Cricetulus griseus: one gene and its partner. Each later gene encodes a partner of the first gene's protein in a complex. Links are inferred from orthologs where the notes say so. Each region holds a gene or a part of one and is shown on either strand. Other genes may lie near its edges. The genes, in order: Csf3r and Csf3.

Evidence for each region.
Region 2: the proteins of Csf3r (region 1) and Csf3 are in contact, whole or in part, in a crystal structure (PDB 2D9Q), measured with the Homo sapiens proteins. The link is inferred for Cricetulus griseus from reciprocal best matches to the Homo sapiens genes CSF3R and CSF3. Residues at the interface, in NP_000751.1 of Homo sapiens: Arg164, Arg190, Lys191, Leu193, Leu194, Leu195, Tyr196, Gln197, Asp220, Met222, His261, Ile262, Asn263, Arg311, Pro313, Leu314; in NP_000750.1 of Homo sapiens: Ser42, Leu45, Lys46, Glu49, Gln50, Arg52, Lys53, Leu141, Asp142, Asp145, Thr148, Thr149, Gln152.

Annotation. Positions count from the first base shown.
Region 1 is NC_048595.1:27,024,655-27,028,563, forward strand, and holds the start of Csf3r (granulocyte colony-stimulating factor receptor), read right to left. Parts: upstream 2,621-3,909; coding exon 2,557-2,620; intron 763-2,556; coding exon 463-762; intron 1-462. UniProt on the Homo sapiens protein: Receptor for granulocyte colony-stimulating factor (CSF3), essential for granulocytic maturation. Plays a crucial role in the proliferation, differentiation and survival of cells along the neutrophilic lineage.
Region 2 is NC_048600.1:111,783,187-111,787,095, reverse strand, and holds the start of Csf3 (granulocyte colony-stimulating factor), read right to left. Parts: upstream 2,756-3,909; 5' UTR 2,090-2,755; exon of another isoform or gene 1,865-2,089; 5' UTR 1,496-1,864; coding exon 1,456-1,495; intron 1,380-1,455; coding exon 1,189-1,379; intron 840-1,188; coding exon 732-839; intron 609-731; coding exon 462-608; intron 235-461; coding exon 76-234; 3' UTR 1-75. UniProt on the Homo sapiens protein: Granulocyte/macrophage colony-stimulating factors are cytokines that act in hematopoiesis by controlling the production, differentiation, and function of 2 related white cell populations of the blood, the granulocytes and the monocytes-macrophages.

The DNA of each region.
Region 1 (3,909 bases):
AGGCCAGCCTGGTCTACAGAATGAGTTCCAGGACATCCAGAGCTACACAGAGAAACCCTGTCTCAAAAAAAAAAAAATCACAGAGATCCACCTTCCTCTGCAGGGATTATAAATGTGCCATTATGCCTTTGTTCTTATTTGCTCCTTATACCTCGTCTTGACACAAACTCCATCCTGTTGAATTTGGAAAGAAAACTGAGACTGGGCTTAGGAGCAGCTGGAAGGGAGCTCCTCTTAAGGACCCGAGCTTCATGCAGAGAAGCATTTCTACAAGGAACACTGTGGAGTTCCTTTTCCTTTTCCTCTCTAGATGTCAGTTTCCTAATCTGGAGAATGGGTTAAATAATAACACCTGATAGGAAGAACCACACCCTCTGTCCTGCTCACAAAGAGGTTATTGCTTTCCCTGGTTCAGGCAGAGGGGCATTGGAAGCAGATGGGTGGATGGTGGGAGGGACTTACAGCCTGCTTGAAGCTCAGCTTGATCCAGGACCTGGAAGCTGTTGGCCCAAGGCACTAAGCAGGAGAGAAAGGCCTTGGTGTGATTCACATGAGGCAGAGTGATTGTGGATTCCTGGCTCCCATCAGGAAGACGCCGCTGTCTGTCTCCAGGCTGGTTTGGTCCATCTTGCAGTCTCCATAGGATCTGTGACTCTTGGTCTAGTTTGCTGCAGTTTGGGCTGATGGTACAGGAGGCTATGACGGGGTCCCCCAGGCGGACAACGGGGACTGAGATCCTGATGTGCCCACAGCTCTCCAGACCTGGATTGGTAGAGGGTGGGCCTTGGAGGACTCCTCTGCCAGGCCAACATGGGCCATGTGAAGACCTGTGAGCTCCTAACCTCAGAGGCCTCTTTTGCCTTTTCACTGTCCCGTCTGGAAGGACATGGGGACTAAACGTGAAGAGTAAGTATGGGGCCTGCAAGATGCATTATAGGGAGAGATAGACAGCCATGTGTCTGTAAATGGTTACCGACGGGCTCTGCAGAGAAAAGCAGATCCTGCTTTGTGTTGGTCACTTCCCTTGGTGTGAACCCTCTTTACAGTGTGAACGCCCCCTGAGGTGTGAACACTCCCAGAAGTATAAACCCTTCCTATTGTGTGACTACACCCTGGGCTATGAACACTTCCTATCTTGTGAATGTGTCCCATGCTGTGAATGCTTTCTATGATGTGAACATGCCCTGGGGTATAAACACTTCCTGTGACGTAAACACCTTCCCCATGATATATGTGCTCCCCTCTGTGTGAACATTTGCCTTCCCTGAATGCAGTTATGAATGCAGTCTTAGACAACTCCAATTCCTCACTAGGGAGGGACTGGGCAGCAAAAGCCACAATCAGAGTGATAAGAACCCCCTAAGGCCACAGCAATCCTTGCCAAGTTCAGATCTGATTGTAAGAGCCCATCTTGATTGTGACACTTCAAGCACATGTGGCTAAGCTCACGGGTTGATGAGCTTAGACACAAGGGCTAGACAGCGTGTCCTACTTATTATTAGTGACCCTAGTACATGTAAGTGGGACTCCCTGTGTCTTACTACTTTTGTCTGTGAATGGAGATAAAAAGCAGTTGCTACCAGTTAGATCTCAGAGCTGTCCCTGCAGGGTGCATCAGTCATGCCTTACATCCATCCAGTCCCTTCCCAAAGCTGCCAAGATCGTGGCATGTGACAGCCATCAGGTAGGATGAGACTAGGGTTAGCTTCCTACTTTATAGCCTTATATCCTAGTCAGCACTACCACTAATCTGCTTTAGTCAGAGACCCCTCCATTCTAAAAGAATTTCCTCTGTTCTGTGGGCTGCTGTTGGAACTCCACCATATCCCAGCCTCCTGTGGCTGGGTGGCTGGCATTATTAAGGACCTAATTACTGGCAGTAAGTCTCAATGCCTGTCTATGGGGAGTCAGCATCAGGCTTGTTTTCCTTCCTTATCTAGCACTACTTTTGTGTCCCTGGGAGATTTTTTTTTTTTTGAAACAGGGTTTCACTGTGTAACCCTGCTGTCCTGGAACTCACTCTGTAGACCAGACTGGCCTTGAACTCATGGAGATCCACTTGCCTTAGCCTCCTGGGTGCTGGGATTAAAGGCATGCACCACCACCGCACAGCTGAGAGGATCAGACGTCCTGACATAATTGTGCAGAACCATAGGTGGCCGGTCATTACCCTCAGTCAAGGTTAGGACAAAGTTCCACACACTTTACATAGCCCCTGGCCTCAATCTCACTGTTTCAGCTCAGACTATGGCTTCTGTTCCCAGACATTGGGTCTCTTCCTGAAGAAACAACAGGAAACCTCGTATCTGTGGATCTTTGCTCCTGTTGTTTCCCTCTTCATGGTTCTCTTCTGACCCTCTCTCACCACGTTAGCATGTGCGTATCTTGGTGAGCCAGACTGTATCCTGGAGCTCTTCCATCCCTTTGTAATTAGAATCGTGACTGATCTGCTGCTTCTAAGTTCTGTGATGTAGAGACCATACTCCCAGAGTCTGGCACACAGCATCATGGCCACCTGTACCTCCCTTTTAATACTCCTCCATAGCCCCCACTTACTTTTAGGGAGTAGCAAGAGGATCAAGGCAGCTCCGGTCAGGGTGCAGGCTCCCAGTCCCACCATTGTGCCAACTTGCTGCTTACCTGGAGGCAGTGAGAGATGGTTAAGAGCAAACTTTGCAGCCAGAGCTTTCTCCCAGCTCAGCATTAAGGAAATGACACACCCTCCCTCCCTCTTCTCTCTCTCTCTCTCTCTCTCTCTCTCTCTCTCTCTCTCCCTCCCTCACTATATCACAAGGTGAAACCTGCCTCCCAGATCAGAGCCACTAGGAACACAAGCTTTTCTTCCCTCTCGCCCAGGACATCTCTGTCTACTAATCCTCATACTGGCTAGTTTTGTGTTAACTTAATACAAGCTAGCATCATTTAGGAAGAGGGACCCTCAGTTGAGAAAATTCCCCCACCAGATTAGCCTGTGGGCAAGCCTTGATTAATGCTCCATGTGGGAGGACTCAGATCTCTGTGGCCTGTGCCACCCCTGGACTGGTGGTCCTGGTGCTATCAGAAGGCAGGCTGAGCAAACTGTGGGGAGCCAGCCAGTAAGAGTACTCCACCATGGCTTCTGTTTTGGTGCCCGCCTCAAGTCCCTGCCCTGATTTCTCTCAATGAAGGACTGTTGCCTGGAAGTGTAAGCTGAAATAAACCCTTCCTTCTCCAAGTTGCTTTCGACCAGGATGTTTTCTCCCAGCAATAGTAGACCTTAAATAAGAAAGTAACCTCATATCAGCACACCTGTCACCACATGTACACACGTGTCCACACTGAGGGGGAACGACCTTGCTGCTCTGCCTCTACTCATTTGTGGTTGTACCTAGGCCTAGCCTATTCCAGGTACCACCTTATCTTCCTACGGGCTTATGTCAAGAGCAGGCATCTGAATGCAGATGCCTGAGATGGGCATGTTTGGCATCAGTACATCCTCTCCAGAAGCCCCGAGGGTGGTCCTAGGTGAGTAGGAGCATGGGCCTGGTGGAGCCCATGCCTACTGTATATGAAGAGGCCGGGAGCCCAATTCTGACCTTGGCTCCGACACTTACCTGCCTGGTGAACTTGGATGAGTTTCTTCACTTTTCTGAGCCTCAGTTTCTCCATTTGCAAAAAGGCGATTAACAGTAACACTCATGTCTCAGCAGGGCTGTAATGACAAAGTGAGACAGTTAAGATTAAAGCCTTTGACACTGTGCTTGAGGAACAAGCTCTCAGAAGCAGTGGCTATCGGGGTGAGCCCTAAAGAAGGAAATCAGCCAATGGAACTACCAAGACTTAGTGCCTGTCCGCATAACCTCCTGGAACAGCCACCATGCCTTTGTCTGTGCTACCATGCATGGCCCCGTTTCTGGGTCTACTTCTAGC
Region 2 (3,909 bases), on another chromosome or scaffold:
TTAAATAGTAGGTTTAAATAAGCATAAATATTAAATAGAGATAAATAAACCTGCTGCAAATGGCTTTGCTCAGGCCTAGACCAGATGGTTCAGGGTGCAATGAGCTGTCTCCAGGAAGCTCTGCAGGTGGGAAGCGGCTAGGACACCTCCCGCCCGGCGCTGGAAGGCAGAGGTGAAGGTTGGCAGGGTGCTCTGGGTGGGCTGCACAGTGGGAGCCACCCCCAGGGATTCCATCTGTAGGGAGGAGATGAAGTCAGGGATCAGTCCTTACTGTAGGTAGGGAGTTGATAAGCTGGTCTGTGGGACTTGCTATCAACAGCAATTCCTCTCACCCCAAGGAAGCAGAGGGATAGAGGTCGGGCTCCCCACACAACAGGCCACTGAGAGCCTCCAGGGTGCCCAGGGGTGCTGGTGTGGCCCTACCCCCACTCTTACCCCCTGCCCCTCCAGATGAAGCTCACCTGCTGCCAGATGGTGGTGGCAAAGTTGGCAACATCCAGCTGTAGCATGTCCACGGTGGGGGCCAGCTCAGGGGAAATGCCTGTTAGGGCCTGCAGGAGGCCTTGGTAGAGGAAGAGTCCACTGTGGAGTTGGCTCAGGCACTTTGTCTGGGGACAGCAGGGACAGTAAGGACAGTTAGGCTATGCGATGGGATACTCCTTCTCTCCAGGAGCCCTAATACCAGGGCTTCTCATTCTCCTCCTGGTCCCCCTTGCCTTCCAAAGACTCACCAGTTGCAGGGCCTGGATGGAGCAGCGGCTGAGAGGAGCCTGCGGGATGCCCAGAGAGTGGCCGAGCAGCACCAGCTCCTCCGGGTGGCACAGCTTGTAAGTAGCACACTGTAGACAGAGGGACGCTGAGGGGCACTCACCTGGGCCAGGCTGATTCTCCCTCCCAAGTCTCCCCATCGTCCACCTGACTCCCAGTGACCCTGCTACTGTCCCAACCAGAGGGTCCCACTGCTGCTTCTCTTCATTTTCTTCCATGTCCCCTTCATGTCCCATGCTCCCTTCCTCAGGGTTTTGTGAGTATTTCGGGGATGGAATCCAGGCCCTTGTGCACACTAGGCAAACATTGCCCTTGCTCTTTCTCCCGAGCCTGCTCCCTTCCCATTTGCCCTCCTGTGTCCGCCCCCCCCCCCACACACACACAGGCTTTTTTCCTCCACACCTGCCAAGCCTAACTCACCAACTGCTCCAGCAGCTCCGAGTTCCTGGTCTGAATCTTCCTCACTTGCTCCAAGGACTTCAGCAGGAAGCTCCGGGGCCAAGGCAGGGGTGGTGGCCGAGAGGTGACAGAGACCAGGGGAATGGCCTCTTGTCCTGTCCAGAGTGCACTGTGCCACAGCAGCAGCTGTAAGGCTGGCAGCAGATGTACAGCTTTGAGACACTTGCCACCCCAGCCTCCCTCCCTCCCTTCCACGCCCAGGGCAGGTAATCAGGGCCGCTCGCTCACCCATCAGCTTCCTGCGGCTCTGGGCAGAAGGTTGAGCCATGGATTGATTCTGGGTGATTCTGGGTGATCTGAGCTTCAGCTCTGGGTTCTGCCAGGGCCTTGCTCCAGGGGGCTTTTATACATAACCCCATCAAGGCCTGGGAGGAAATTACCTGTGGCTGGGGCAACTCAGGCTTAGTAATAACTTCCCAGGATTTATGCAAATTTTCTTCTCTCACCCAGGACAATGCAGGGGGTTGGGAAAAGGCTGTTTTGCGAAAGTTTTGTGAAATCGGGGAATCTCTGCTCCTTCCTTGACGTCTTGTCCCCCCCAAACTCTCTTCCTCCAGCCACACCCAGGCCTGAATTACTCCAGGGTGTTTAATCTGAGTAGTCCAACGAGGTTGAAGTGCTGGCGAAGCCCTGGAGGCTACAGAGGGAACTCAGTCAGACCTTGGGAAGAATCAGGCCCCAGGTCAAAGTTGCTCTTATCTCTCTACCCTCTGCCAGACATGCAGAGGTAGCCAGTACCCTAACCCTCTACCCTTCTCCTGTGATTCTTAAAATACCTTTACCTGGGGACAAACATTCTGAGAAAGAAAGAAGAGCCCATTGTTCTCATTTTGTACCCATGAGCTCCCAGGTGGCTGCTTACTTCAGTGCCAGGAGGAGCCCTGGACAGCACCCTAGGGTATTGTTTTCTGTGTCCACTCCACATTTGGATAAAAACAAAATGATCCAGCATTCAGGCTGTCCTGTCCCAGGCTGATTATCTGGGAACTCCCCAATACCCACCACGATGACTCATTCATTTAAACCCCTGGATCCCGGCAGAGCAGCCAAAGGAAACCGGATGTCTGCCTTGAATGAATCAAGACCCTTTGGGGCTCTTTGCCCACCTGACTTTGCCTGTCTGTTTCCCTGCATTACTCTCCTGGCATAGTACCCAACCATAGCAGAGTCTGGGGGATCTGGAGTCGGGGCCTGGGACATGCAGGGTCCCGGAAGATCGATACACCATAGAAGCAAGTGATCTGGCTTGAGTGGACGCAGGCTGGAACGAGAAAGGAGAAGATGCATCTCCAATCCTAGAACTCTGTCCTGGTGTTAGCTCTGGAAGAGACTTTGAGTTTTCAACCCTGTGAACTGGGCCACGGAGGGAAATGCCTTGCCCAGTCATGAGTAGTAGAGTTGGAGGGACATCCCAGCCTCTGTTTCAGTTCCAACAGGGTGTTAACTGCCTAAAGAGGAGTAGGGTCCACTTGTTTGACTGATCAAATCTCAAGCTATCACTTTCTGAGCTAGTTCACTACCACCTTCTGGCCCAAGGAACAGACATCTCTGGATGCTGAGGCATAGCTGACTGGGCGGGGCCATTCCTGGGGCTAGGGTGCCCTCTGGTGGCCACAGTCGTGGACATCATCTACCTATCTTTGCTTGGAAGGACAGGGCAAGAGATTTCCATTCTTTTCTCTTTTTTTTTTTTTGGTTTTTCAAGACAGGGTTTCTGTGTGTAGCTCTGGAGCCTGTCCTGGCACTCGCTCAGTGGTTCTCAACCTGTGGGTTGTGATCCCCAAGGGCTGCATGCTTAATACCCTGCATAGCAGATATTTACATTACAATTCATAACAATAGCAAAATTACAGTTATGAATTTTAAAATTCATAATTTTATGGAATGGAACAACTTTATGGTTGGAGGGTCAACACAACATGAAGAAATTGCTACTGCTGCTAGTTGCTAACCAGAGCTCAGTGGTTAAGACTCTGTTGCTAGCCGGGCGGTGGTGGCACACGCCTTTAATTCAAGCACTCGGGAGGCAGAGGCAGGCGGATCTCTGTGAGTTCGAGACCAGCCTGGTCTACAAGAGCTAGTTCCAGTACAGCCTCCAAAGCTACAGAGAAACCCTGTCTCAAAAAACCAAAAAAAAAAAAAAAAAAAAAAAAAAAAGACAAGACTCTGTCGCTGAAGACAGCACAGGTTCTGGTCACAAGACACAGAAGTCAAGCTGGAACTGACCTGATGGCTTCCTCCTTGCTGCTTAGAGCTCACAATGCATGAAGGAGCTGTGCAGGTTGCTGAGAGAACTGTCATCCACTGTCTTACTCGGCTATGATCTCTGAATGTTGTACTACCAACTGGCCAGGCAAAGCGTGAACCTAGGGCCTCCAGCATGCAATAGTGGCGAGTCTGCAAGAGCAACCAGTGGCTTCCTGATTGGGTTTGAGGCTGGCTCTGCAGGGGGGAATCCAGGCTAGTGCTGGAATCATGGCCGATGTCTGTGGCAGGGAAGTCATAGGACCCAGTAGGGAAGCTACTGATCTTGTTCTACTAGCTAGACATGGTGAGCTTATCCAGTTGCTGTCTAAAATAATGATTTTTATGCCCATAGACCGTCAGCTTCGGTCAGAGAAGCTTCTTTTTTGTAGGGGACATTGGTAATGTATCACAACTGGCCAAAGTGCTGAGAGTTAA